4 linked regions of the Pelodiscus sinensis genome follow. Each later gene encodes a partner of the first gene's protein in a complex. Links are inferred from orthologs where the notes say so. Each region holds a gene or a part of one and is shown in the gene's direction. Other genes may lie near its edges.

Evidence for each region.
Region 2: OGT (region 1) and PHF20 share a complex: the UniProt entries of both Homo sapiens proteins name them as parts of the NSL complex. The link is inferred for Pelodiscus sinensis from reciprocal best matches to the Homo sapiens genes OGT and PHF20.
Region 3: OGT (region 1) and THAP1 share a complex: the UniProt entries of both Homo sapiens proteins name them as parts of the THAP1/THAP3-HCFC1-OGT complex. The link is inferred for Pelodiscus sinensis from reciprocal best matches to the Homo sapiens genes OGT and THAP1.
Region 4: OGT (region 1) and THAP3 share a complex: the UniProt entries of both Homo sapiens proteins name them as parts of the THAP1/THAP3-HCFC1-OGT complex. The link is inferred for Pelodiscus sinensis from reciprocal best matches to the Homo sapiens genes OGT and THAP3.

What each region holds. Positions count from the first base shown.
Region 1 is NW_027466001.1:364,220-371,976, reverse strand, and holds the start of OGT (UDP-N-acetylglucosamine--peptide N-acetylglucosaminyltransferase 110 kDa subunit), read left to right. Parts: upstream 1-4,650; 5' UTR 4,651-4,759; coding exon 4,760-4,796; intron 4,797-7,757. Other genes in the region: TAF1 (transcription initiation factor TFIID subunit 1), read left to right, coding at 250-403, 1,094-1,271, 2,518-2,734. UniProt on the Homo sapiens protein: Catalyzes the transfer of a single N-acetylglucosamine from UDP-GlcNAc to a serine or threonine residue in cytoplasmic and nuclear proteins resulting in their modification with a beta-linked N-acetylglucosamine (O-GlcNAc).
Region 2 is NC_134728.1:32,241,723-32,248,966, forward strand, and holds the start of PHF20 (PHD finger protein 20), read left to right. Parts: upstream 1-4,141; 5' UTR 4,142-4,297; intron 4,298-7,244. UniProt on the Homo sapiens protein: Methyllysine-binding protein, component of the MOF histone acetyltransferase protein complex.
Region 3 is NC_134716.1:3,815,822-3,823,451, reverse strand, and holds the start of THAP1 (THAP domain-containing protein 1), read left to right. Parts: upstream 1-4,552; 5' UTR 4,553-4,703; coding exon 4,704-4,774; intron 4,775-5,560; coding exon 5,561-5,762; intron 5,763-7,424; coding exon 7,425-7,630. Other genes in the region: transcription factor JunD-like, read right to left, coding at 554-1,726. UniProt on the Homo sapiens protein: DNA-binding transcription regulator that regulates endothelial cell proliferation and G1/S cell-cycle progression.
Region 4 is NC_134733.1:24,452,107-24,459,298, forward strand, and holds the start of THAP3 (THAP domain-containing protein 3), read left to right. Parts: upstream 1-4,083; 5' UTR 4,084-4,162; coding exon 4,163-4,239; intron 4,240-5,822; coding exon 5,823-6,015; intron 6,016-7,192. Other genes in the region: PHF13 (PHD finger protein 13), read left to right, coding at 1,383-1,609. UniProt on the Homo sapiens protein: Component of a THAP1/THAP3-HCFC1-OGT complex that is required for the regulation of the transcriptional activity of RRM1.

The sequences.
Region 1 (7,757 bases):
TATACAGAAATCCCATCTGTAGTCTTTGCATCCTCATGATAGAAGACTTCATAGTGCAGGGAAAGTCTGCTGGGTCTGGCACTCTCGGTGACCACAGAATCCACAGCAATGACAAATCAGATAGTTACCTGAAATCATAAACCTGTCAATATAATAACAAATGACTGAGTATACTGCCAATGTGCCAGATATGTCAGCAGCTTTGTGTATGACCTTTGATCTATACCATTCCCATTTTGTGTGATCTAGGAAGTTGAAGATGGGGATGGTGACCTTGCTGATGAAGAAGAAGGCTCAGCACAACAGCCACAGGCTAGTGTTCTTTATGAAGATTTGCTTATGTCAGATGGGGAGGATGATGATGATGATGGGAGTGATGAAGAAGGCGATAATCCCTTTTCATGTAAGTCCTAGTCTTTCAATCACAGCACTGAGCAGGAATCAGTTGTTGCCAAACCCAGCCAATTTCCATGCCCTAAAACTTCAGTAGCATACACTGCAATATTTGATTGTAGATATACAAGACACTGTATACTCATATATTGGTTACAAAGTTTAGATGTTATGGTGCAGTTACAAAGGAGATGTCAAGAGCAGGAAGAAAGAACCAGATGAATTTAGATGAAGACTAAGATGCAGTGAAATGCTAACTGTAATCAGGAGAGAATGTTGGGTGTTCACACCCGATTCAGATGGTGGAATTCTGAAGCTTGGAAGAAAAGAGGCTGCAGTTCAGATGCAATGCTGAGGGATACGTGGTCTAAGCGGAGCTGCTGGTGCAAGCTCGCATGAGATTTGGATAGTAAACATGAAACATGGGATCCTGTTGTGAAGGACTGGAAAAGGGCACTGTTCAAGCTGCACAGGTTGTCTGATACAGAACACAAGGTGAAATGGATGAGTAAGAGGAGGCAATTATTTCAGTGCAAGAGTGACAGATAAGATGCTGTGTGGAAGATAGATGGTTCTTGTGAAAGAGGCAATTATTATTGAAAACCAGATAATATTGCAGACTACAAAAGTATGCAAATCAATCCACCAGGTAAAACAGCTGTCAAGATTAGTAAGAGGCTCTTTTCTGTTTGTTGCACAGCTATCCAGCTGAGTGAAAGTGGCAGTGATTCAGATGTGGAGCCCACTGCAATGAGACCAAAACAACCTCACGTCCTTCAAGAGAACACACGAATGGGCATGGAGAATGAAGAGAGTATGATGTCCTATGACGGAGATGGTGGAGAGACCTCTCATGTTATGGAGGACAGTAATATCAGGTAATCAAAGTAGAGAATAATAGAAATGTAGGAATGCAAGCTGCGAGGCAGTGGCTTCAAGTTTTTTTTTTTCCTTGACAGCCAATTGAAGAAAATTGTTGATGCCCATGACCCAACATAATTATCTTGTATCTAGTCTGTGGTGGGACTGGGGATGTGGGATTTGGGTGGTGGCCCTGGGTTTGGGGGGTATCCCAGGGCTGGTGCAAGTAATTGGGGTGTAGAGTTGGGGCATGGGCTTCCTTCCAGCAGCTCCTGGTCAATGGCACAGTGGGAATGCAAGCGATGTTCTAATTTTTTCCATCCACGTGTGGAATGAATTTTATGTGCACAGGGTGTGACACAATCCTCGCTCAAGCCCTTTGCCCTGGGACCTCTTCTGGAGTCATAAATCAACCAGAAACCCTTTCTGGTGCAGTCACCAATGCCTTTTATTGTCAGTGCCAATTTCCCACCACCTTCTATTTACAGAGCTTTTGTTCACAGTAACCTCAGCCAGCCTCTCCTCCTGCCTGAGGTGCACACTCATGCTGACTTCTCCCCTGTGGCTGCTTTATATAGCCTTCTGGCTAAAGAGGCCCACAGGAATGGGCTCACTCAGCTGTAGTGGCAGAGCTCTGGCTTAGCCGGCAGACTGTCACAAGGGGCATGCATGGTGGTTCACCACCAGTAGAAACACTGCTAATCAGTTGGGCAGTATTTGAAACTCTCCTGCACAGCTTACAGGGGACACTGGTGCTAAGGCAGGCTCCCTGCCTGTCCTGGAACTGTGGACTCTGTTGTGCCCCATAAGTGGCCAATAGCAGGTCTGGTTCCTAGCAGGTCTGCGCAAGCGGCTCTGTGTCCTGCTCTGATCTGCAGGCCCTGCCTCTCTGTTCTCATTAGCCGGGAACCCGTACTTAGGGTGGGGGCTGCTAGCGGAGTCCTGTGGCCCCCTGCCAAAGTGTCACACTTGCCACTGGATACTTCTGGGGTGCAGTGTAGTATGATGCTGGGACAGTCAGGAAGTCTTATTTAGAATGCCTGCTGTTTACCTGGTCACCCTACAGCGAGTAGGGTGCCTTACACAGTGCCTGACATTGCTTTACTCAGTTTTGGGTTGTGATTCGTATTTTGAAAACCACTGCTATAAGGGAATCTTTCAGTTACCAAGTCCTGACATTTTGAGCAGCTCTCCAGACTCTCTTGTTTTTTTTGGAAACAAGCTGAAAGTGTGTTTGTAATGATATTCCATTCTTTCTTTTAGTTATGGCAGCTATGAGGAGCCAGATCCGAAGTCCAACACACGAGATACCAGTTTTAGCAGCATTGGAGGGTATGAGATCTCGGAAGAGGAGGAAGAGGAGGAAGAACAACGATGTGGGCCAAGTGTGTTAAGTCAGGTTCATCTTTCAGAGGATGAGGAAGATAGTGAGGATTTTCACTCCACTGCAGGAGACAGTGACCTGGACTCAGATGAATGAGAGACCCTTCGTTACCGAGGGATGTAGCACTCGGTGGCCTGGATTTAGATGAATGAATTTCCATCTTTTTTTTTTTTTTTGGTACTAAGGGACTGTGCGCACTGTTAATTTTGAAGCATCTTATTTTTCTTGTATAATTTCAATGTTCATAGAATTTTTACAATACATTTATTAAGTTATCTGAATTGTGAATAACAAGATTTAGACAAAGATAACGTGCTGTGATTTGTGCAGCAATCCAAGGGTTCTAGTTACTGAGTATAACTACAGGTTTATAATCTGGTTCACTTTCCCTTATTCTTTTCAGATACACACTGAAAATTTCTTACATATATTAGGCTGGTGTTTAAATACCTTACATTGATCTTTGATATGACTGAGTTAACCAGCCCATACATTTGTTGAAGAAATAAACAATTGAAGAAATATACAAAACTGAGTAAATTTGATTTTTGAACATTTAAAGCATCTGTTTTCTCAGTATTAAAGAGGGCATGGCCCTTCATATTTTCTGAAGTGTTACCCCAAGTATTCAGAAAGTCAGGCCCAAAAGCCTCTATGGATGCTTTCCCTGAAATTCTGCCTACACTAGTTGCTTGAGTTAATGACCTTGAACATCTTATTCACAGGAAGAAATCTTCTGAAGCTCCTTACAGTTTGTTCTAGAAATTGCTAACCCGTCGTCATGCAGGAGGAGTTCAACAGGAATTTCTCTAGGCTTTACTTGTGCTTTAAACTATCTGAGTTCATTTTATTTTTGCTTTAATCTAATTAACAGAAATCATAGAACCATGTAGGAAGTGCTGTAGAGCCTCCTGTTCCTCTGCTGTATAACATATTGGATTAATCCTGAAATTATATCAAGATTTTGTGTATTTTGACTATTTCATTGTAGGATGGTGTTCTGTTTCATTGTCCTTAGATTTTGCAATTACAGGCCTTAGTGCCACTTGTGATTTCATAACCACCTTTGCCAGGTATGGACTTGCTCTTCCTTTTATGGGACAAAAGGGAGAATAGATTGTTCACCATGAAATTTAAAATCGGATGGGTTTAGCTGCTACAGTGAATGCTGATCCTGTTCTGTTCTTTCAAATTCTGTCTTCCTTGGAACAATCCCCTTGGTACATATCTACAAAAGGTAGTTGCCACAACTCCACTCAATTATAAATGATGAATTTCCTGACCTGTGTATCTAACTCCTCAACATGTCACATGATCCATTGCCATAGTGTCAGTAAGTGAAAGAAAGGAACTTGCACGGGGCTAGTGCAGGCATTGAAATACCGTTGTAAGGGCAGCGCGTGTGTAATACTCAGTGGTTACACCTGAAACTCTGCCCCCCCGCCCCCGCCTGCGCAGAGACGTGGTAGGATCCGCCTGCAGCCCCCTCACTGCCGGAGCCCCCCGGCCCCATCGGTCAGGCAGGAGGAGGCTGAGGCAAGAGGCGTGGCCAGCCGCCTCCCAGACACGTATCCCGCATGTAGCAGCTGCCGCGGCGCCCCTCCCTCCGCCTGCTCCTAAGCTCCGCCCCAGGGGCGGGGCTGCATCTCCCCTGGCCTGCTTGAGGCCCCCGGCTCCGAGGTGGCTGCGAGCGCGAGGTAGAAAGGGTGGCGTCGCGTGACGCATGCGCGATGAGCGCTCATTTGTCGCAATGGTCTCCTGCGGAAGGATACGGATCAGATGAGTGACAATTCTCAGTAGGGTTCTACGGCTCACTAATGAGAGAGTGCACCGAAAGGAGGCGAGAGCGCGAGTTAGTTCTAGAAACTCATCTGTCGCAACTGGGTTTGATAACGCCTAGGATTCGATCCCTTTTCCTACGCGGACTATTTTGTGTAAGGAAATAGATCCGGCAGGAGCCATACGCCTGACGGGGTGCTTCCTCCGCCGCTGCCGCCATTTCTGGAGCCGCCGCCTTAGCGAAGAGGGGGAGGTTGGGTCGCTGTGGTCCGGCCGCTGGGTCGCGTCGCCTGGATCTCTCCGCGCCCGGGGGAGCCCCGCCCGCCCGCCCGCGCGCCCCCGATGGCGACCTCTGTGGGGAACGTGGCTGACAGCACAGGTACCGGCCCGCGGGCCGCCCGCGGCGCTGTGGGTGCGGCCGGCGCTGGCGGCTCCGGGCCTGTCCGCGCGGGGTGCCGGCCGGCTGCGGCCGTGGGCTGGCTTGTGCCGCGAGCCGCCCGCGATGAGGCCGCGTCGGGCGCGGCGATGCGGTGCGGGGGGACGTGCCCGAGGCCGCTGGCCGGGCTCAGCCGCCGCCCCGGGGGCTCGCCGCGTCTCTCGCCCCCGCCCGGATGGGCGCCACTCGAGTTTCTTCCGCGCTGTCGCCAGCATCCATCGCCGCTTTGTGGCGGCCACAGCCAGACTGCGAATCGCGCCCAGTCCCGTTGTTTGCCTTTTCTGTTGTCAGCTTCCGCTCTCATCATCGCCTGTAAAGCGGCACCGAGCGCGTGTGGATGCGTGGGAGAGCCGTGATGTAGTTCGCACGTGTGTGAAAAGCGCTAAGAAATGTGCCTTACAAATACTACTTAGGAAATGTCTGGAACCATCTTCCGACCCCATCTCCTTAGTCCCAAATCAGTTTTTCAGATCCTTTTCTGTATTTTCAGGAGTATGCACTAAAGTGAACCTAATACTTTATATCATAAATTGATAGTTTAATGGGAAAATGCTTTTAAAAACTGCTGTTAAGATCAAATCTTTCACAAGAAAAGTAGCTTTATCTTATGTTTTCTATGCTGGTGAGCACTTCATAAAATAACTTCTTGCCACAGGAGGCAATTAAATTATTGTATTTCATCAAGGTATTAAAGTCTGGGATTCTTCAGAAAAATTTCAAATTAGTGTACTTATACTGAACAATATAAATAATTGTTAGAGTTCTTTATGTGCATGAGGGAGATTCTTCCTACAATCTACTATCATTCATTCACTTTCAAAACTAGTTTGACTTGCAGTGGACTCTAGGGAAGGGATTAATTGCAAGAGTACACATTTGTTGAATAAATTGGAATCTATATATATCCATATAAAAGAATAGAGCTCTGATCTAGCTGGCCACCCCAAATCCTCCCAATACTTGCATATAGGACCAGATCCAAAATTTTACCGTTGTTAGTTGACACTAGTGTGCCTGAATTTAATTGGTGGGGAGAAATTGCACATTTTTTGAAAGTTTTGACAAAATGAAGGAAATCTGAGTTTGGATTTTTCTAGCAAGCTGAGGACAGTTGAAACAATCTCCCAAATTTGGAACAGAAGTAAAACATCTCTCATCAACTTCCTTATATCTGTCACCCTCAAAGTCTCTAGCCTTAAGTGCAGTTTTAAGCTTGGAACTTGGATATTTGCTTTTTTGGCAAATTGGGGAGAGGAGAGGTTAGAAATTTGTATTGAAGTATCAAAGCAAACAAGTAAATCAGGTTATTTTGTTTCGCAGTTGTGTATGCCATTTCAGTTTTTCAATCTTGTTTTAAGGGTGAGTAATAGTACGTAGAAATTGATTTCCTCCTTTTAGCTTTTTTTATCTTTATTTCTGGCAATAGAAGAACACTTCAACAGCATAGATTTGGAACAAAAATCAGACACCAGCTATTTGAAAGACTAAAACTTAATCAGAGGTAGCACTAATGGAAACTGGGTACCCAACAGTATGGTCTATAGGTAGTCTTTCGAAGCCCTCCACTAGATCAAGATCCTGGAAATATAGGCAGTCCCTGGGTTACGTACAAGATAGGGACTGTAGGTTTGTACTTAAGTTGAATTTGTACTTAAGTCGGAACTGGTGTCCAGATTCAGCCGCTGCTGAAACTGACCAGCTGCCCACTACAGGAAGCCCGAGGCAGAGTTTCTCTGCCCAGGGCTTCCTGGAATCAGCCGCTGATCAGTTTCAATAGCAGCTGAATCTGGACGCCTGGGACAGAGCAGCTGGGGTGCTGCTGTGTAGGTCCCTGCAGCGCCGCACCTCGGTGCTGCGGGGAGCAACCCGGCAGCACCCCACCTGCTCTACCCCAGGTGTCCCCAAGTCAGCCGCTGCTGAAACTGATCAGCGGCTGATTCCAGGAAGCCCGGGGCAGAGAAACTCTGCCTCGGGCTTCCTGTAGTTGGCTGCTGGTCAGTTTCAGCAGCGGCTGACTTGGGGACGCCTGGGGCGGAGCAACTGGGGTGCTGCTGGGTTGGTCCAGTACCGCCGCTCCTAGGCGCTGCTGGACCAACCCAGCAGCACCCCAGCTGCTCTGCCCCAGGCGTCCCCGTCAGCCGCTGCTGAAACTGACCAGCAGCGGCTGAATCAGGACGCCTGGGGCAGAGCAGCTGGGGTGCTGCCGGGTTGGTCCAGTAGTGCCGAGGAGCGGCGCTGTGGGACCAACCGGCAGCGCCCCAGCTGCTCTACCACAGGCGTCCGCGAGAAAAGCCTGATCATCTGGGGGAGGCGGGGCTGCACTAGCTGCGCCGCCACCCTCCCCCCCCCCCCCCCCCGCCAGCAGACCATGGAGACGCAGGCGGCGGGACCGAGACGCGCTGCGGTGCCGCCGCCCAGGTCCTCTGCGGCTTTGCTCCGCGTCTCCCTGGTCTGCTGGGGGGGGGGGGGGAGGCGCCCCCCCCCAGCAGACCAGGGAGACGCGGAGCAGCTTTTCTCGCCCCGGAGGACGTGGGCGGCGGGACTGTGGCGCGTCTGGGCGGTCCCGCCGCCCGCGTCCTCGGGGGCGAGAAAAGCCCCGTTCGTAAGTACGGATCCGGCTTAAGTCGGATCTGCGTAACTCAGGGACTGCCTGTAGTTTCATAGTCCAGAGTCCAGTTTTCATAGGCTGTGACTAGTAGGTATACACATTTAAGGTTTCGCTTATTCTTTCATCTTATTTTGGGGGTTTGTTTGCAAATAATTTGAGCCAGTCTTTTCTAGGAGTTTTTTGTAGGAGTTTTCCCAAGGTATGGGGTAACACCTGAGGGATTCATAGTTATGAACCTGACCAGCATGTTGCTAATTATGCAATAGAATCATAGAACACTCAAACTGGAAGGGACC
Region 2 (7,244 bases), on another chromosome or scaffold:
TGCAGACCCAGAATGCCTATCCCCTACTTCCCTACCAAAAAATTAGAAAAAAGTGGTCTCTGAACAGATGTCAGGGTGATTAAAGTCCCTCACGAGAACCAGGGCCTGTGATCTGGAAGCTTCTCCCAGTCGTCTGAAGAAAGCCTCAGCTACCTCATCCACCTGATCCGGTGGCCTGTAGCAGACACCAACCACAACATCACTGCTGTTGTTTGCACCTCTAAACTTAACGCATAGACTCTCAACAGGTTTTCCTTCCTCCATATACTGGAGTTCTGAGCAATCATAGAGCTCTCTTACATACAGTGTAACTCCTCCTCCTTTTCTCCCCTGCCTGTTCTTCCTGAACAGTCTATACCCTTCCATGACAGAATAATGATAGAAATGTAGCCGTGTTAGTCTGGTGTAGCTGAAACAAAATACAGGACTATGTAGCACTTTAAAGTGCTACATAGTCCTGTATTTTCTTCCATGACAGCGCTCCAGTCATGCGAGTCATCCCACCAACTCTCTGTTATCCCAATGAAATCATATTTCTTGGACTGGGCCAGGGCCACCAGTCCTTCCTGTTTGTTTCACAGGCTTCTCGCATTCGTGTACAAACACCTCAGATAACCAGTTGATCACCCTATCTTCTCCATTAGAATCAGGGGTCCTCCTTTCTTGCTTGTTCCTCTTTGCATATCTTCCCGGTATCCGACTTTCCCACTCCCCTCAGGGTTTTGGTCACCGTCCCCCAACAAACCTAGTTTAAAGCCCTCCTCACTAGGTTTGCAAGCCTGCCCGTGAAGATGCTCCTTTCTCTTTTCGTTAAGAGATGGATCCCATCTCTTCCTAACAATCCTTGTGCCCAGAACAGAGTCCCATGGTTAAAGAAACCAAAGCCCTCTCTGAGACACCACCTGTGCAAACAGACATTTACTTCCTCAATTTGATGATCCCTGCCCAGTCTTTTTCCTTCAACAGGGAGGATGGATGAGAACACCACTTGCGCTCCGAATTCTTTGATCCGTCTTCCTAGTGCTACATAATCTGCAGTAACCTGCTCAAGTTCATTCTTGGCTGTATCATTAGTTCCCACGTGGAGGAGGAGGAAGGAGTAGCGATCTGAAGGTTTGATCAGTTTTGTAAGCCTCTCAGTCACATCCTGAATTCAAGCTCCTGGTAAGCAGCACACCTCTTGAGAGCCAGATGGATGGCTCAGTCCCTCTTAGGAGGGAGTCCCCGATCACCACCACCTGTTGTCTTGTTTTGGGGTTGATGGTTGTGGAACCCCCATCCCTAGGACTACACATCCCATGCCTTCCAGTAGATGGTGTTCCCTTCCGGTTTCTTGTTTGTGAGGTCCCTTCCAAAGCATTCAGCACTGCAGAGCCTGTGGAGAGAGCTTAAAAGCGATTACTTACCTCTATAGCACTGGGGGATTCCTGTGCTGGCCTTTTTCTCCTTCTAGAAGTTACATGCTACCAGTTCTCTTCCTGGTCTTGTGCTGCCCTCTCTGGCTCCTCCGCCTGCCTTGCTTTCAGGATTAAACTCTGCCTTCTATAAAGGAAGTCTTCATCCTCTCTGATCAAGTGTAGGGGCTACACTTGGGCCTCCAGTCCTCTAATTTTTTCTTCCAAAATGGCGACCAGCTTGCACTTATTGCAGATGAAATCCCTTCTTTCTTCCAGGAGGAAGACAAACATTGCACACGCTGTGCAGGTAACAACAGCAGACCCATCACCATCCATACCTGCTGTCCTGGAAAAAGGATTTAAAAGAATGGCAAGAGAACCTTGCCCCCTTCCCAACTCCCTCTCTAAACTCCCTGTTAGCACTCACCTGTTCACAAGCTCCTTGCTCACTGCTTTATAAAGCCCTGGAGTGCCTGAAAGTCCCTCCCCCTACCAAGGCTCAGCCAATCAGCAGAGGTTTCTACAATTCAAACTTTAATTAGAAGCCAACAGTTTCCACCTGCCAGTCACAGCACACACTCCGGGAGGGGGAGGGGAAAGGGGAAGGGAGAAAAAAAAAGCCTCGCTCACAAACACAAGCTCAGCACACAGCAAGAAAGCCCCAAACACAACACACACTGCAGACAACCACTCCCCTCAAGAGTCCTGTATCTGCTTCTCCTTTACCTGGAGAACTCCCTCTCTAAATTCGCTGTTAGCACTCACCTGTTTGCAAGCTATTTGGTCGGTTGCTCACTGCTTTATAAAGCCCTGGACTGCCTGAAAGTCTCTCCCCCTACCATACTGGCCAGATGTCAGGCACTGGCAGCTGCAGTGTGGTTGGAGGCTGTCAGGACCAATTTCTGTTTTTCTAAATTTTGTTCCTCCAGTTTCCCGGGAAATGCCAAGTAAGTCCAGCCAGTAGAATATACACATTCAGCAGATTGCAAGCTTTTCAGTGACGGTGCCACAGTTTGCATAGAGCTTATCTGAGTTCTTGTTCATATTCAAAAGAATAGTTCCATAAAAAATATGGGGGTGCAACTTCACACTTTGGATATGTGGCAAATGGCAGACTTGGCAACTCCTCACTTGGGCTAGTCTCCTCCAGGGGCAGGGCTTGGTGCAGTGTGGGTTCAGCTCCAGGGCTCTGCAAACCCCTAGGCTGTGTCTACATTGGCAAGATTTTGTGCACAAGTGGCCACTTTTGCGCAAAAACTTGCCACCTGTCTACATTGGCTACAAGTTCTTGCGCAACAACGCTGACATTCTAATGTAAGAAATCAGTGCTTCTTGCCCAAGAACTATGATGCTCCCACTCAGGAATAAGCCCTCTTGCACAAGTGTTCTTGCGCAAGAGGCCAGTGTAGACAGGCAACATGAATTTCTTGTGCAAGAAAGCCCGCTGGCTAAAATGGCTTTTCTCTTGCGCAAAAACACATGCCAGTGTAGACGCGCTCTTGCGCAAATACTTTAACGCAAAAACTCTTGCGTTAAAAGTATTTGCGCAAAATCTTGCCAATGTAGACGTAGCCCTATTCTCTCCCCTTCTTTTCTAGGCCTGGAAGCCATCTACTCCCTTCTTTGGCTCAGACTCAACTGCATCAAGGGTTCTGTCTTTTAGGCTGTCTTTCTCATCCCTTGGGTTCTGGTGGGAGAGGCAAGCCTGGCTTAGCTCTGACCACTAGGAATCACCAAGTTGGCTCTTCATCCTCCAGCTCAATGGAAGGTCACTCAGCTTCACTACAGCATGGTATTGTGTTGGAGATTTGAGTTCTTGTGATGGGCCCCCTCAGGCTATGTCTACACTAGCAGCTTCTTGCACAAGAACTGTTTTGCGGAAGAGTTCTTGCTCAAAAAGTCTTCCACAAGAGCGCGTCTACACTGGCATGTGCTTTTGCGCAAGAGCATCCATGGCAGTGTGGATGCTCTCTTGCACAAGAAAGCTCTGATGGCCATTTTAACCATAGGGGCTTCTTGCGCGAGAAATTCATGTTGCCTGTCTACACTGCCCTCTTGTGGAAGAGCTCTTGTACAGGAGGGCTTATCCCTCCTGGGGAGAAGAATAACTCTTCCAGAAGATGCCCTGTTTTACAATGCTATACTGTAAATATACTTGTGCAAGAACATGCGTGCAGTGTAGATACCGGGCAAGTTTTTGCCAAGAACAGCTGTTTTTGCGCACCTTCTTTCAGTCTCTCCTCACTTTCTCTTTTCCTCCATTTGCAGTGCTCTAACACCTCCATGATGAAACACTAACAGGAAAAACAGGAGGAGGATGGGGGGAAGAATTCTGTTGGGTCGATGGGTTGGGAACTTCGGGGCTGTAGCTCATAGACGCCCTGCGGGGTGGGGTGCTGCAATGCTGATGTCTTGGGCCCAGCTGCTTCAGGATCAAGGGGCTCTTCGGCCAATCCCTGGGGGGGGGGGGGGTGGCAAGCCAGGGTCAGGCTTGCAGCAGGGGATGGTACCAGCTCGGCCAGCTGCCTCGCTAGCCACCTGCATCCCAGAGAAGGGCGGGGCCCTGCCTCACACGTGCCGGAAGGGGAGGGGAAAGGAGACCCGCGAAAGTTCCGCCTCGTCCCGCCCCTTCCGGCGCACAGTTGAGGCCCCGCCCCTTCACCTGCCCCCTCCGAGGCCCCGCCCTGGGGGGGGGGACCCCTGTTTCTACCCCGCCCCACTCCCCTCCGCTTGGCCCCGCCCCTCCCCCGAGAGCCCGCGCCAGCCCCCTCCCTCGCGGCGGCGCCTCAGCCGCGGCGGCCATTTTGTGTCGCTGCTCGGTCGGTGGCGCGGGGCTCGCGCGGGGAGTGGGGCCGGGCGGTGACTGGCTCCTTTCTCGCCCTTTCGCGGCCGATCCCTCGGTAAGACACCGGCAGCGGCCGGGCGCCCGGCCCCGCCCCGCAGCGGCCCGTCCCGAGGAGGCCGGGCCCCGCGCGGAACGGGTCCGCCCAGCCGCACAAAGGGGGGAGGGGCGGGGATGGGCTGAGGAGGCCCCGGGCGCGGGCTGGACGCGCTCGCGGGGCTCCGCTGTGGCCCGGGGCGGGGCCCGGCGCGGGGAGGTGAGTATCGGCGGGGCCGGGCGGCGCGAGGGGCTCTCCCGGGCGCTGCCGCCTCAGCCCGCGTGGCCGCCGCCGGTGCGCGCGCCGGGCGGGAACCGAGGGCAGCGCGGGGCGGCGGGAGCCGCTGCAGCGTCTGGCCTGGCCGGCCCGGGGCGCCCGCTCGCTGCGGGCGGGATGGAGCCGCGCGCGGCCCGGGAGCAGCGGGCGGGCAGTGCGGCCTGGCTCCGAGCGGTTGTGTAACCGGGCTGAGCAGCGGGCGCGGGGCCGTGCGTGTCTGAGCCCCGCGGCCTCTGCAGGGGACGCTGGGCTCCGTTCCGCCTGGGCGAGACACCGCGGCGGGGGGAGGCCCTGGGGGAGCAGGAAGCGCCTCTGGGGGGGGTCTCATGTCTCCGCGAGAAAACGGCAGCGAGCGTAGGGAACGTTGTTTGTCCCGGGAAGGGAATCTGGCCGGGGAAAACTCTGGCCTGACACTTGGTTCTGTTTCTACCTTGGTGAATGGCTGCTGCTTTCGTTAGCTTTGGTAAAAACCATATGGGTTTCAGAATGAGTCGCGCACACAAGCACTTAGTTACACTCAAAGGGGAGACGTTGACGTTTTTGTTAGGCAGTAAAGCAGAAACAGAAAGTAACACTGCACGTGTCAGAATAATGGGCAAAGTGGGTCTGCACTGAGTTTCTCACTTCTAGTGAACTTGGATTCAAATCATTCCTATTGTTTCATCAGGCAAGTTGGTTTACAGACTCACTGGGAAATCTGGCAGAATTTAATCTCTTGTAGAAAGACTAGAAACTAGGGATGTCAAATACCCGTTAATTGAATAGTCGATTAACTCATGAATTCTTATCAGTTACTTGACTATTCTGTAGTCCTTGGGGGTAGGGCCAGCAGCCAATGTGACTTACTCCCAAGAAGCCCTCGGCCACTATGCGCTGCTGCCTCTTTATCCGAGGCAGCAGCGTGGGGTGCCAGGTGGGAGCTGGTTCATGAGGGGAGGCAGTTTAAAAACCAGTTTCCCTGGTGGACCTGCTGCCTGTTACCCTGCACTGCTGCCTCTGATCTACAGGTAGCAGCACAGAGTGGCAGCAATCCCTGTGAGAGGGTGGGGGACAGGGTCTGAGCTCCTGGACCCAGTGTGAGTCAGAACTGAGCTGGGCTGCCTGTCTGGCTCCTAATGCACTTCAAATGCAGAGCTGTAGCAGGGGTAGGTCCCAGACCTGGTGCAAGCAAGGACTGAGCCTGGCTGCTGGCTAGCCTGCTTAAAAATTTACTGGTGGGGATGGAGGAGGGGGAAATCCATGTAGTATATGGCATTAACCTATAATCTTTTGTTTATTGGTTAATTGACTACACAATTACATCCCTACTAGAAACACAGGTAGTTTAGGTTAGAATGTAATTGTATTGGTAATACTATATGGCTGCGTTTAGACTGGAATCATTTTGTGCAAAAATCTTGCCGCCTGTCTACACTGGCTGCGACTATTTGCGCAAGAACACTGAATTTGTAATGTACAAAAGCAGTGGTTCTTGCACAAATACTCCAATGCTCTTGCTCAGGAATAAGCCCTCTTGCGCAAGAGGGCCAGTGTAGACAGCCACGTTAATTTATTGCGCAAGAAAGCCCAATGGCTAAAATGGCCATCAGAGCTTTCTTGCGCAAGAGAGCGTCTACACTGGCACGGATGCTTTTGTGCAAAAGCAAATGTTTTGCACAAAGGCACGTGCCTGTATAGATGCTCTCTTGCGCAAATACTTTTAACAGAAAAACTTTTCCGTTAAAAGTATTTGCGTAAAATCATGCCAGTCTAGACACAGCCAATGTGAAAGCGATGCATCTGCTTATTTTTTTCTTCGTTTCACTCTGGGCAGTTAACTGACTTTTGAGAACCACATAGAAAAGTATGTCTATGCTCCCAAATTAATGTGTAGCATTAAATGTTATGTGGCTCTGGAAAAATAATTTGAATTGGCGTATAGAAATTACAAGTCTTATCCAAACTAAAGGGATATCTGAGAGGGATGTTAAAAAAAATCTTTATTTTTTTTAAGGTGTTGATTGCTCGCTAAATACAATAGCTAAATGGTAGAAAGTGAAGTTGACATTCCCTGCACTCCATTCTCTGAAATTCTATTGTTCTTCATGCCTTGTTTCCTGAAGGGCCATTTGCAGCATGCTGCCCATTGGGGTTCTGTGTCCTGCTAGACATTTTGTTTATCGTTCTCTACACACAGGGTTGCCAGATTCTGTTGGTTTTCGTTCATGTAGATTTTTTCCTACCAATTATTAGTAAAGTGATATTCACATAAAGCAAGGGCATTTGACGTAGGGATGTTAGATACCGTGTATTTTAGTAATTGTATAGCTGCAACAGTTTTTAGTAGTTACATGGTTATTAAAATAGTCCCGGGGGGGGGGGGGGGGCTGGCATCCAGTGCGGTCCGAGCTCTCTGCTACCTTGCGCTGCTACTTCTGATGAAGAGGCAGTAGTGTGGGATGGCAGCAGCCCTTGTCTGTGGAACAACCAAGCTCCCCACAGACTGGGGCTGCTCTGGAGGCAGCGGGGAGGTGGGGAACAGGGGCCTCCGCGGGAACCGGCTAGTGCAAGAAGCAAGCTTAAAGCTGGTTTTCCCCCTGGTTGCCGGCTCTCATACAGGCAGATACAATGGTAAGGGGGGAGAAAGGGAGGAGAGTTGAGTGTAGTTGTTTGGATTAACCGATAAGCCTAGGTTTATCCGTTAATCGTTTAA
Region 3 (7,630 bases), on another chromosome or scaffold:
TTACAGCTGAACCTGTCATTAAATAGGATTCCTTCTAACCTAAGTTGTGTGGCAGAATCTCTCTCAGCGAAGGCTAGATTTAAAACTAGGCCCATTCAAGTGCTTTACTCGCAGGGCTTCCCTATCAGCTGCAAATGAAAAGCTGCTCTGCAGCAATACAATCTTAAAAAATTCCTTTCACTGCTAAGAAAGAAATACACTGCCACATTTTGTTTTATACACACACACACAGACACACACTTTTTTTAAAAAAAAAAAATGTAGAATTTGAGCTTTTTCAAGCTGGGAATAGACAACTCTGAATCAAGCCCCGCTCCAGGGGGGTTAGAAAGAACGCCTCTAGCAGGGAAATAAAGTGGACTCTTTGTGTAAACAGCGATTCTTTCAGTCCTGGGAAAGCTGCACGGCGCGCACACCAGCCCCTTGCCTGGGAACTAGCCGCGCTCAGCCGGCGTGGCGCGCAGCGTGGCTCCCCCTCGCCTTCCTTCCAGCAGCTATGGGGAGCCCGTCAGTCTCGCATCCTCCCAGGCACCTCGGGGAAGGCGGGCGGGCTTCAGCAGGCGCTGGTCTGCGGCGCGGCGGGCTCGGGCGGGCCCTCGGGCGGCGCGGCGGGCGGCCCGGCGGCGGCGCTGATGTGGCAGCCGCTGGAGAGGTGGCTGCGCACGCGGCCCTGCAGCTGGCTGACCTGGGCGCGCAGCAGGCTGGCGGTGGCGGCCAGCTCGGCGTTCTGCCCCTTGAGCGCCTTCACCTTCTCCTCCAGCCGCGCGATGCGCTCCAGCTTGCGCCGCCGGCACTTGGAGGCCGCGATGCGGTTGCGCAGCCGCTTGCGCTCGGCCTTCAGCCGCTCCTGGCTCTCGGCGTCCAGCGGCGACAGCGAGGGCGGCGTCGGGGCGCCGCTGCCGGCCTCGCCCGGCGGGGCCGCCTCGGGCACAGTCTGCGGCTCCTCCAGGGCCCTGGCGGCGCCGGGCACGGGCAGGCGGCCCAGCCCCGGCGGCGGGGCGGGCGAGAAGGGCAGGCCGGGCGGCGGGGCGGCCGAGTAGGAGCCCGCCGGGCTGAGCGGCCCGGCCGGGTTGAAGCTGCCGAGGTTGGTGTAGACGGCGGGCGGGTCGCTGGGCGGGCGGGCCGGGCCGCAGGGCGCCGGGGAGAGCGGCGCCGCCAGCAGCTGGTTCTGCTTGTGCAGGTCGGCCAGGGCCTTGACGAAGCCGTCGGCGAAGCCCTCCTGCTCCTGCGTCACCGGCTGCCGGTAGAGGAAGGGCCCGGCCGCGGGGGGCGGCGCCGGCGGGGCGGCGCAGGGGCTGGCGGGGCCCAGGCCCGGGCCGCCCTGGATCAGCAGCTGCTCTAGGTCCGCCGCGGGCGGCAGCTTCAGCAGCGGCAGCTCCGCCGAGGACCCGGCCGCCAGCAGAGCCGCTTCCGGGCCGCCCCTGCCGCCGGCTCCTCCCCCCGCGGCCGAGCCCGGGGGCGCCGCGGCGGGGCTGAGCCTGAGCGCGGCGGGGCTGCGGGCGCTGCCGCCGGGCGGCCGGAGCGGGAAGGAGCCCGGCAGCGCCAGGGGGCCCGCCAGCTCCCGCTTCTTACCGGCCCCGAGCAGCAGCTTGTGCCCCGCCGCCTCCTGCCCGGGGCCGCCGAAGCCGGGCAGCGGGACGAAGTCGGGCAGCAGCTCCAGCCCCTCCTCGGGGTAGAACGGGGCCTCCATCTTCACCGCCGCCCGGCCGCTGCGGCCGCCGCTCATCCTGCCCGCCCGCCCGGCCAGGGGGCCCGCCCCGCCTCCGGCCGCAGCGGGAGCAAGGGGAGCCCCCGCGGGGGCTGCGGGAGCGTGCGCTCGCCGGGGGCGTCTGGGGGGCCCTCCGCCCGCCGCAGCCCTGCGCCCGGGGGTCCGCGATGGAGGTGGCGGGGGCCGGGCTCACCCCTGGCAGGCGGGTCGGCTCCCCCCGGGGGCAGCGGCAGCCTCCTCCGCCGCCCAGGGCTCCGCGCCTTCGGCTTGTGGCATTTACCGAAACTCCTACAGGGGAACTGATGTCAAACCCCCTCCCAGCGGCAGCGCCGCCTTCGCGCCCGCTCTCCCCGCCCCTCCGCCGGCCGCGGCGCGCTCTCCCTCCCGCCTGGGCATGGGAGCGCACACGGCTCCGCGCTGGCAGCTGCCCACACGCCCGCCCACGCTCCCTCGCTGCGGGCTGCACAGCGACGCCAGCTGGGAAAAGGGGCTGGGTCAGAGCGCTGCCCCTTGCCGCGAGCGGAGACTGTGTGCGGGCTGGGGTGGGGTCGCGCCCCATCGCCTTCGCGCCCCGCACAGGCTGGGGCGTGAGTCCCTGCCTGTAACGCGCACCTTTCCAAACTCCGTAGCCTGCCTCTGAGCCCGTCTGCATCCCTCTAGAGTCCCAAGGAGAAACCCAAGGAACAGACCGACCCACGGCCAGTGGCGGGGGACCGTAGGGCTGAAATAATCGCCCCCATCTGACTTTCTTTGCAGAGAGTACGCCAAGGAAACGCGCAGGTTGCATAATTAAGCGCTGAAACATCAGGACGTGCCAGATTAAAATTTTCATCTGCCACCATAACTCTGCCTGTTGCCCTCACACCGACTTTAATTACCTGCTTTGTTGTGTCTCAACACAGCCTCTCAGATTTCCACTAACCTTGCAAAGGGCATTTTGGAAAGTTTATAGGGAATGAGGCAGTGCAGTGCAGCTGCACTCCCCTAGCAGATCAGGTAAAGTGTACAGTGAAACAGGCTAAGGCGGTGCAGAATACCTAGCCTTAGCCAGTGTGTATATTGTATGCAACTGACCGATGAATTCTTTACTATACTCAGGGTACAACAAAATATAGCAGAAAATGCTAAATGTGTGTTCAAGGTTGTGTTTAGTGGGGAAGTAGGTACTTTTGAGCTGTAGGAAAACGGTGTCCTCAGTTACTAGGATGGGGAGGGGAGTTACCATTAGTTACAATCTCTATTTAAAATTCCTTGGGTCAGGGGGACTGATGTGGCCCTGACCAAACTGTTGATAGCTCCTTGTGAGCCACTGTTTACCATCCTTAGCTGGCTGAATGAATGAACCTCAAGTCTTTGTGACCCACCCATTTAATATTAGGGATGTAAAATTCCATTAAAAATGTTAACCAAGTTAAACTACATGTTTAATTAACTGACCTGTGACTGGGAGGGTGGGGGGCATTGGAGCAGCTCCCCATCCATGGCAGGGCATGGTGGGCCCAGCCATGGATAGAGGGCTGCTCCCGGCCAGGTGGGGTGCAGGTTAACCAGTTTTCCTTGTAAGCAGGCTAGTTAGGCAGTGCTTTACATCTCTAATTAATATACCAATTCTTTATTTCCCTATGATCCACGGACCCCTACCACCAGAAATCCCTCCTTCCTTGCTTCCCATCACATTTCCTCTATTCATTGGGCTTCTTGGCATAGTTCATTGCTTTTGGCCTAGAGGAGGCTGGCTGGTTGAGCGTCTCCGTAGCCACACGGCTTACATTGCCACACATCTCTGGGGTGTTTGACTATGCTGCTGTACCTCTCCTCCCACTGTTCAGTCCTGAAAAAGTATGGATGGGTGGGGGGGAAGGAGGAACTGAAAGACAGGAACAGTGGTGGGTAACCTGTGGCCCAATGGGGTTCTGTGTGTGGCCCACAACAAATTTTAGTGTTGCCCATGGCAAGATTGCCAGATTCAGCTGTTTTCTGTGGGCATAAGTTGTCCCCCTGCTCCTATGTATTACTAAAATGATATGCACAGGTATTCACTGTCTTTTTTCTCCCCTTTTTCCCCTCCTCCCCCTCCCTTATTTATTCTTGGATCTGGACTTTCAATACTCCAGTCATCTGAAGAAGTGAGCCCATGAAAGCTCATGATACAATCGACATGTTTTGTTAGTCGTTAAGGTTTAGACTTACAGACTATGCATTTACGTTTTTTTTATGCATGGGTAGGTGAAGCGAGGTGTGCGCAGTTGCATGCACTGACTGTGAAAGCCCTGCACACCCACTGCATCCAATCAAAGTGCTGCTAGAGTCCACTTGGCACACCCCACAAATTCTAGGTAGACAAGTGCAGTTACCAAAATCTCCCCTATCTTGGGAGACCAGGTGGATTACAACAAATCTGCAGCGCACTCAGCTGAAGGAGGGCCGCTCATGCAGCCGGGTCAGGAGCCTAGGCTGCCCCTCCCTGGGCAAGAAGGAGCCCTGGCCTGCCTGATCTTTCCCACCTCACCCAGGGCAGAGAGCAGCCCTAGTAGCTGCAGGGGAAGGGGCAGAATTTCTGGCCAAAGGCACTGGAGCGAGACTCCGCAGCAATGAAGCAGTCTGGACACCGCCTGCTGGCGCACGCTGGAAGCACAGGGACCCTGCTATCCAGATGTGTGAGCGAAGGGAGGCGGGGCAAAGGATAAGGCGGAAGCTGGGCGAATGGGGCCCCGCGCCACACGCGGAGCCTCGACGCCTATTGGTGGGCTGCGCGAAAAGGCTCCACCCTCGCGGAGGGGAACGGCCAATGGAGGCGAGCGAGGCACTGGTATCGCGAGAGTTCACCTGAAGCTGGCACCGCCATCTTGAAGTCGGGAGAGGCCGTGTCCCCTTTCTGCTCCTAGGGGCTAATAGAAAAGGGATGGGGGTCGGGCGGTAACTGGCGGTCGCCCGAGTCCTTGCACTCGGCCCCGGCGTGCTCCGGAGCGGGGCAGGCGGCCGCCGCCGGGGGAGAATGGTGCAGTCCTGCTCCGCCTACCGCTGCCGGAACCGATACGACAAAGAGAAGCCTATCTCCTTCCACAAGTGAGGACAGGGCCGGAGCGCGCCTGCGCGGGGCGGGAGCGCGCCTCGGCGGGAAGGGCCCCCGGGGGGGGGGCGGGGAGTAACTGTCACTGGCGAGCAGCCCAGAGCGCGTGCGCACCGGCTGCGGGGCGGCACGCGCGCACCCATAAGGGGGCGGGGCTGCGTGGGCACGTGGGACCCGTCGGGCGGGGGAAAGGCAGGAGGGAGGGGCCGCTGGGAGGCTGCCCCGCCCCCTCCTGCGAGCCTGGTCCGGCCCGCGGGCCGGTTGCCCGGGCCTGTTGTCCGGCCCGCGGGCCAATGAGGGGCAGGGCTGGCCCATCTGCCCCCAGGCCTGGCTTCAGCTGCCTGCTGGGCTCGGTGTGCGCCTGGCAAAGCCCATGAGCCGGCCTGGCAGTGACCATGCCCCTCCGAGTCCGCCCGCTCCCTGTCCAGGCCTCCTGGCCACTTGTGCCTTGGCCAGCCCCACGGCAGCACCTGCTTGTCAGTTCCCCCGAACCGTGCAAAACCCTGTTCTGCCTGCGGACACTGGCCCCTTGCGCCCCCCCATTGCGCCCCTATGCCCGCCGTAGGTGTATGCGCTGGCAAACCCAGCCAGGGCGCTGAATGTCGCAGGGCCAGCAGGCTGCCTCTCTGATCCCTGTTTGTACAGCAGCTAGCACCGGGCTCCTTGGCCCCGCCATGCCGACCAACCCTGAGTGCTGCACCCGTGCCTTTTGTATGCCTGCAGTGCTGTCGCTTTTCCTTAGAAAGCGGTTCAGTGGCGCTGAAAGTCCATCTCGTTTGCAGGTTTCCTCTCACCAGACCTGACCTCTGCAAGAAATGGGAAGCTGCTGTTAAAAGAAAAAATTTCAAGCCCACAAAGTATAGCAGTATTTGTTCAGAGCACTTCACTCCCGATTGCTTTAAAAGAGAGTGCAATAACAAGCTACTGAAGGAAAATGCTGTGCCCACGATATTTTGTTACACTGAACCCAGTGAGAAGATAAAGGTAACGTGAAAACTTTTTCTTATAATACTTTAATTTTTGTTACTCAAATACTGCAATATATGCATTTTTTTAATACAGAGAAGGGAGAAGAACCGTGTTAAGGAGATCTGGATTTTGTCTGCCCCTTTGTGTTTTTGCATATTAAACAGAGAGCAGGACAACTTTGAAGGGTCTAGAGGAGAGAGCGGCCAACTAGGTTAGTGAGTAGGCCCAATGAGTGACCCTCCTGCATCTCAGTGGGCCATGAGATTGTTGTAACCAAGATGGTCTTCCAGGATAGGGTAGTTTTGCTAACAGTGTTTGTGTACCTGACTGGTCCCGAACAAGGGAGTTTGCCAGACCAGGGGAGATCAATTCCAGCCTCTTGGCCTCGGCTCTCCCATGGGGTTGCCAGCCTCCCAGCTGGGCTCCCTTCCTGACCCTGCCAGCCCAGCTCTGCTGCCAGCTGCCAAGTTCCTGGTTGCTGGACTCTCAGTGGGCCCCAGCCATCAAGGCCCTCTGGTCCAGCAACATCCATGGTCCTGCCAGACCATGGATGTTGCTGGACCAGGGAGGTTCAACCTATATATGCAAAACGACAGGTGTAGGTGAGATACAGCTCATGTAGATGTCCTTTTTGGGTGATATTTCTGAAGTATTGTCCCATTCATGCATCATTGTGGAATTTTAAAACAAATTGATACATTTAACAGTAATATGTCAGCAGGGCCAAATGACATTTACTCAGAATGTCTGAAGGAATTCAGAAAAGAAATGCAGAACTACTAACTATAGTATGTAACTGCTGAAAAAGCCTATGTACCAGATGACTGGAGGATATTTAAAACAGACTCCGGAGGCAATCCTGACAAGTAAAGGCTGTTCAGCCTACCTTTGCTACCAGGCAAACTGGTAGAAATCATAGTAAATAACAGAATTACCAAGTGCATAGATAAACATGATTTGTTGGGGAAGAGTCAACATGGATTTTGTAAAGGAAAGTTATGCTTCAATCTATTAGAATTGGTTGAGGGGGTCAACAAGCATCTGTGAAAGGACGTCTTGGGTGGTTTAGTGTATTTGAATTTTCTGAAAGCCTTTGGCAAGATGCCTCACTAAAGGATTTTAAGGAAATGAACTAGTCCTGGAATAACAGGTCGGTTATGGATCAATAACTGGCTAAAAGATAAGAAATAAAGAGTAGAAATAAATGGTCCATTTTTGCAACAGAGAGAGGTTTCGTCAAAGAGCTGTGCTGTTCAACATATTCATTCATGATCTAGAAAAGGGACTGAATGGTGAAATGACAACATTTGCAAATGCAAAATATTCCTGCAAAATAGTTATGTTCAAAGCTGGCTGCAAAGTGTTACATAGGGATCTCCAAAAACTGGGCAGCAAAATGGGAGACAAAATGCAATACTGCTGTGTGCACAGAGATGTACATTGGAAAAATAATTCCACCTATACATGTATGATGGGATATCTAATTGAGTTGTTAACACCTGAGAGAGAGTTCTTGGAATCATTTTGGATGGTTCTCAGAAAACTTTAATGAAGAAGTTCTTAGCTGTTTTTGCTAGTAATGGATATGCTTATTGTTGTTTACAGACTACAATCTGGTGATTAGATGGCCTATTCCCAAAACAGATTAAAATGTACTTTTTCTCTTGCTGTTTGTAGACTGAAGAATTTACAGAGCAACCTGAAGATCTGTCTGCAGTACCACCACCCCCTCCACCACCACCTCCTTTGCTACCACCTGCTCCACCACCATCTTCCTTTCCTGCGTCTCAAATAGATGCAAGATTTGTAGATCCAAGTGTTGGATTATTAATGCCTCCTCTCCAGACCCCTAGTAATCTTGCCGTTTTCTGTGATCACAACTA
Region 4 (7,192 bases), on another chromosome or scaffold:
TCATTAGCAATCCACTCCTTTATAAAATGGGATAGTGCAGATCTGTATCCTGTACGGGTTGAGTGAAATTCACTGGGGTTTGCAAAGCACAGCCAGCTCTTTGGGTAGAAACGGATAGAGAAGACTAAGCACCTGAATTAAGTTGTCCAGATTCTGAGGTGAGGGTTTCTGTCCCTAGGCTGTGCTTTCTGAGAGGCCTAATGTAAAATGGGACAGAAGATTGGAAGCTAATATTGGGAGTAGAACCCTTTTGGTTCCATATTTACCTTTTGGGATTGCTGAGATTCTGTCTTGGAGCAAGGTCCAGGGGGCAGTACTACAGCTTCCAGCATGCCCTGGAAAGATGTTCACCAGCCTGCTGGATTTGGGTCCCAGCACTGGACCCTGAGCTCTCTTTTCCTGACTCTGAGCGGAGTTCAGGCACTGTTTCTGCACACGCTTTCAGGGTGCACGTTTACTTTGTAGTGCCCTTTTCTGAAAGCCTAGGCCTTGAAACGAGGTCTGTATTCCCTGAAACTCCCCAGTTGCTCTAACCATGTGGGCATTCTGGCTTCCAGTTCACTGCCTCAGGGACACGTGAGCATTGAAGCAAATGAACACACACATTTTCCAGCAGGTTTCTAACAATATTACTCTTTACTTAGACAGCACAAGAAACACCGATCTAGGCAAAATAAAAACCGCTACACACCAGTCCCTGCTTCACTTTTTTCACCACTTTTGAGTGTTCTTTGGGATTTGGATCAGCATCCTTTCAGGGTGTCCAAGATACTCCTCATGCAGCTCCTGGCTTCTTCATAATATGGAGTATCTTTCTCTCCTGCAGGCAGCTCCCTCCAGCCTTAGCTGGTACTAATTTCCAAAAGATCCTTCTACTACAAAAGCCATGCCCCTTTGTTGCTGCCTCCTGCCCCAAGTTTCCTTTGTCTCGCTGGCCAGCCCAGTCTGTTTTGAAGGGCTCTAACCACACCTCATCTCTTTGTTCCCTCCATTGGGGAAATTCCGTTCCTTCAAACTAATCTTCTGCAGAGATGGAGGAAAAATGATGCAGTTACTCCTTTGATCTGTTCAGGGGTTGGCAGGCTTTATTGACTGACCTGTTTATAGACCAACATGCAGGGTCTACTCCCATCTCATTTGCATAAGGAATATAAGGCAAGAACATGATACAGTGTATTATACAAGCATCAATGTACCGAGTTCATAATCACAAACAGAACTTCTAGGCTACATATTGATAGATTCCCCAAATCATCACAGAGCTGGTAGGGACTGCCTTCTTCTATCTAAACCAAGGAGGAAATTCAGCACCAAAAGGGAGAGGATGGCATGCAGCAGAAGGAAAGAAGTCATAGTTTTAATTCATTGTTTTTTCCTTCCAGATGATGATTCCTGGGATCTTGTCACCTGTTTCTGCATGAAACCTTTTGCTGGACGGCCAATGATTGAATGCAATGAGTGTCACACCTGGATCCACCTCTCCTGTGCCAAAATCCGCAAATCAAATGTGCCAGAGGTGTATGTATGCCAGAAGTGCCGGGACTCCAAGTTTGATATTCGCCGCTCAAACCGCTCCCGGACAGGTTCGCGCAGGCGCTTTCTGGACTAGCGGAGGAACTACAGAGATGGCTTACTGCTCGGGCAGATGAGCCATGCAAAACTCAGAACTCCAGCCAGGGGGGCAAAGAGAGCTCCTCTGAACTGCAGTTGGCTCAGGCAAAAGTGACAGTGTGAACAGACATGAGGTGTTCAATGTCTGAGTGCCAGGGCTGGGAGAGGCCTGCTGGCCAAAACTTCTGCTAGAGGCTGATTATCTATAGCAGGGACGTACTAAATACCCCTGGTTCAGTGGGGTTTTGTCAAGTTCAGACTGTGAATGGGATGATCATTTGAGAATACTGCCTTTGCCGCCTATCAATGTTCATCCTACTGGGAAAGCGCTAAGCAAGTGCAAGGCTTCTAGGTGCTGAAGAAAATAATCATCCTCCGAAGCAGGAGTAGGAGGACGGAAATCTCTGGAAAGTCTGAAAGTAAACAGCCATACATTCTAGTTTCACTGTAATACTAGACTTGCCCATTGGTCCAAAAGAATTTCTGAAGGCTCCTTCAGAATGAGCTTGAATGCACACTGAACTCATGTGACCTGCCTCCTCTTCAGCTGGGTAGCGGGAGAGTATCCACTCACTTCTATGATTTGGCTTTGTTTCTGGTAAAAACAGTAATTTCCCACAGCTCTCTGGATTGTTGGCTTTAAAGGGGAGACGCAGGGTTTTCTTTGTTTCCTGGGGAGGGAAGGAGGGCTGTGCTGGAAGTAGACATGTCAATTTTCTTCCTTAATTGAGCTGAGTCCTCTTAAAATCATTGTCATGATTGTGTTTTGCAAGAGCAGCTCAAACATAAGGTTGTTCTGTGCTTCCATCCACTCTGTTCCACGGCCCCGTGTGGTGGCTCATCTCAGACAGAAAAGCATTGTTCTGAGACACCAATTCCCTTCCCTCCTCCAGCCTGGAAGTCGAGCTTGGCTACACAGTGGGCCTTGAAAAATTAAAACCTGGGAATTCAGAATGGCCTGGTTTGGATTTGGGCGGTTCCCATGTGAGCACTAGGGCTGGAATTACCTGCATTTTTAATACTGTTTCCTGAGCTGGATTTGTAAATGGGAAGACTAGAAAATCTTTCAACAGGTTTGTATGCCCCTCTACAGATAGGAGCAAATGCATGCAGTATGGCATCCAGCCCAACCCTGTAGAGGTGGCCTGTGCACCTGGCAAGGTGGGCTGCAGTTGAGAGAACACTCCAGAGCTGCAGAGGATAAGGGAATGCATCAGCACCAGAAAACGTTCCTATCTCGTGACTACCCTTTTAGGTAGCAGTGAGGGGACAGTGGACGCAGGGCTAGAGAATGTTTCAGGGAAACGAGACTAGTATATGAGGCCACTGAGGTGTAGGCGCTTTCCTTCTAATGACCAAACTGAAAATATATTGTATTTATTGCACAAACTGGATATTTGTTCTTGAGAGAATTCTCCTAAGTTGTATGATGCTTAATGAACAATGGACGTTCTGTCCTGTCAGCCTATTAGATGATCTGGAGTCACTAGTTGGCATTTTTTTATATCTGAAAGAAGACAGAACTGCCAGGAATCAATGCAGCAGATGATCTGTATCAGACTGTCGCCTTATTGAATACTGATTTATCAGGAAATACATCCTGGCAGTGTCAGGGACCCTCCTTGGGACACTTAACACGAGGCTACACAGATCACTAGAACAGCCTGTATATCACTGCCCTGCAATGCCCAGGGGCTTGATGAGATGGGACCATTACTATAGAACGGCACTGTTTTATTTCACTGTCCATTCTAAAACTTGGTGCAGTTTGAAAAGCCCATCAAGTGAATTTGATTTCTAGATGCAGCAATTGAAATCTAATTTTATAAACAGCTCCACTTAAATCTAAGAGAGTGATGACACACTACATACCAGAAACGAAATGGACCCAGCACTTTGCCCAAGATTTGCCTGGTAGGGCTGTCTTCTGCCACCAGATAAATAACCAAAGTTCCCAAGTGTTGCAGATTTCACGCTGCAAGGTAGGCGGCTTTGGAAGAAATCTGCTCAGTCGTGTAAGGGTTTAGCCTGATGTCGAGGTGTCTGCAGTACACCTGGATCGCTGCAGGCTGAAAAGCAAACTGCTGCGTGAGCTGCCTGTCTCAGCGGTCACCCCAGCCGGCGCGTGCCAGCCCGCCTGTTGCCATGGCAGCGGAAGGGTGTCCGAGCCCCCCCCCCCGTGACTCCAGTTCCCCGTTAGTTATTTCAGCGAGTGGCGCTTGTCTCGCGCGCAGAGCCCGGCACGAGCGCGGACCCAGCTCCAGCCGGCGGGAGGGGCCCGGGCGCAGCCGCGGGGGGAGGGGCGCCGCGGAGCGGTTTGACGGTGACGAGCAGGAGGGGAGGGGCAGGGCCCCTGGCGGCGCGATGCATGCTGGGAGCGGCGGCCCTTGCGGACAGTGTTTCACTCGCCGTGCCCGGGGGGCGGGGGAGAGAGAGACCAGCGCCCCGGCGCATGCGCGGGAAATCCAGCCCAGCAGGCGCGTGCGCCGGGGCGGCTCGCTCTGAGGGGCGGGGCGGCCATCTTTGTTGGGGGCAACGCGCGGGGCGGGCCATGCCCAAGTCCTGCGCCGCGCTTCGGTGCAGCAACCGCTACAGCAGCCGCTGCCGGCAGCAGCTCACCTTCCACAGGTACCGCCCCTCCCCCTCCCACAGGTACCGCCCCTCCCCCTCCCCCCTCCCCCAGGTACCGCCCCTCCCCCCTCCCACAGGTACCGCCCCTCCCCCTCCCCCCTCCCACAGGTACCGCCCCTCCCCCCTTCCACAGGTACCGCCCCTCCCCCTCCCCCTTCCACAGGTACCGCCCCTCCCCCCTTCCACAGGTACCGCCCCTCCCCCAGGTACCGCCCCTCCCCCTCCCCCCTCCCACAGGTACCGCCCCTCCCCCCTCCCACAGGTACCGCCCCTCCCCCTCCCCCCTTCCACAGGTACCGCCCCTCCCCCCTCCCACAGGTACCGCCCCTCCCCCTCCCCCCTCCCCCAGGTACCGCCCCTCCCCCCTCCCACAGGTACCGCCCCTCCCCCTCCCCCCTTCCACAGGTACCGCCCCTCCCCCTCCCCCAGGTACCGCCCCTCCCCCTCCCCCCTTCCACAGGTACTGCCCCTCCCCCCTCCCCCAGGTACCGCCCCCCCCTCCCCTCCCCCAGGTACCGCCCCTCGCCCCTCCCCCAGGTACCGCCCCTCCCCCTCCCCCCTTCCACAGGTACCGCCCCTCCCCCTCCCCCAGGTACCGCCCCTCCCCCTCCCCCCTTCCACAGGTACCGCCCCTCCCCCAGGTACTGCCCCTCCCCTCCCCCTTCCACAGGTACCGCCCCTCCCCCTCCCACAGGTACCGCCCCTCCCCCTCCCCCCTTCCACAGGTACCCGCCCCTCCCGCTTCCACAGGCACCGCCCCCCTCCCCCCTTCCACAGGCACCGCCCCCCTCCCCCTCCCACAGGTACTGCCCCTCCCCCTCCCCCTTCCACAGGTACCGCCCCCCTCCCCCCTTCCACAGGTACCGCCCCTCCCCCTTCCACAGGCACCACCCCTCCCCCCTTCCACAGGTACCGCCCCTCCCCCTCCCCCTTCCACAGGTACCGCCCCTCCCCCAGGTACCACCCCTCCCGCTCCCCCTCCCCCAGGTACCGCCCCTCCCCCTCCCCCAGGTACCGCCCCTCCCCTCCCCTCCCACAGGTACCGCCCCTCCCCCTTCCCCCTCCCCCTAGAACCGCCCCTCCCCCTCTCCCCTTCCACAGGTACCGCCCCTCCCCCTTCCACCGGTACCGCCCCTCCCCCCCTTCCACAGGTACTGCCCCTCCCCGGTACCAGCTCCTCCCCCCTCCCCTTTCACAGGTACCGCCACTCTCCCAGGTACCGCCCCTCCCCCTTCACAGGTACTACTCCTCCTGCCTTCCTGGTACTAGCCCCTCCCTCCCTTCCACAGGAACAGGTCCCTCCCCCGATATCAGCCCCTCCCCCCTTCCACAGGTACCGGCCCCTTCCACAGGGGCTGCCCCCCCACCTTTCACAGGTACCAGGCGCCTCCCCTTCTCACCTTCCAGAGGTACCGCTCCCCCACACCTGCCACAGTTACTAGCCCCCCTTCCTTTCATGTGCTTTCCACAGGGAGTAAAGTCCTGCCCCCCCCCCCCACATCTGCCGCAGGTACCAGGGTACCACCCCTTCCCTTGCTACTTTGGCTCAGGCCCTTCCCCACCTTGCCTCTCCCCTGCAGGTTCCCGTTCAGCCGGCCAGAGCTGCTAGCACGCTGGGTGGGGAATATTGGCCGTGGTGATTTCCAGCCCAGTTCGCATACAGTGCTCTGCTCACAGCACTTCCAGCCCGACTGCTTCAGCGCCTTCGGCAACCGCACCAACCTCAAGCCCAATGCCGTGCCCACCCTCTTCGCCTTCCCCTGCACCGTCTCGGTGAGCCGCCAGCTGGGCCCTAGCCGTGCTGCAGGGAGGGGGCGGGGCAAGTGGTTAGAGCAGGGCCATGAAATGGGCAACTTATTGGGCACTGCAGTCCCTCCTTTCCCCTTCTGTACAATGGGCACAAGAGAACTGAGCTCACCCTGTCCTCTCCCAAAGCATCACTTTTTCACAGGTCATGTGAGCTGCCTCCGTGTCCCAACTGCTTTGCCCCTTGGCTCAGTGAAGATGCTGCTTCCTGCTATTTGTTTGCTTAGGGAGGTTGGAGAGATTTAAAAGCAGGTTAGATAAACACCTGTCAGGGACGGTCTAGATCATGTCTGGGCAAAATAGAGCCTGCCGGCTGGATTTGGCCCATGGATGCAGCAGAGAGCCTCAGGCAGGTTCCCTGCTTGCCTCACCTCACCCACACACTGCTCAGAATAGCAGCTGCTGGGCCGTTTCTCTTTCAAAACTGTGAGCCTGGAGGGGATGAGGGGGAAGGGTTAAAGCACTGCCCCCCACCTCCCCACACCCCTGCCCAGCACAATCCCCTTGGCTGGTTTCTGGCATGAAACACCACATCCCCCGCCTCTCCGGCTGGTAGTTATTACACTAGGGATGTGAAGGACTAGTTGACTATCAAGTAAGTAAATACTTATTGGGTAGTTGAGTCGACTAGTTGATTCCCCTGCCTCTTGCTGTCTCTATCAGAGGCAGCAAACTGGGGGGCAAGAGAGGATACTTCAAAGCAGCAGCGCCGCACGGAGCAGATCCTGGGCTCCATGTGGTGCTGCCCCTTTGAAGTACTGCACAGAGCCCGGGATCAGCTGTGCAGCACTGCCCCTTGCAAACGCCGCCACGCCATTTCCAAGCGACAGCGCTATGTGGAGCCTGGGGTCAGCTTGGGGACTCCCTAGCTGACCCTGGACTCCCTGCGGCAGTCCCCAGCTGATCCCAGGCTCCAGCATGGCATTTCAAAGCACAGAGCCCGAAGTCAGCGGGACTTCCCTCTGGCCCCGGGCTGCATGCGGAGTTCCACATTCCTCCTTTGAAATGTGGAAGTGACTATCAACTATTGATGGAAATTCCATCAATTACTAAATTACTCATTGGTTAACATCCTTAATTCACACACGCACATGGTCCTGCAGCCTGTGTGGGGGTGAAGCAGGCTGCATGCCTGAGTCACCCA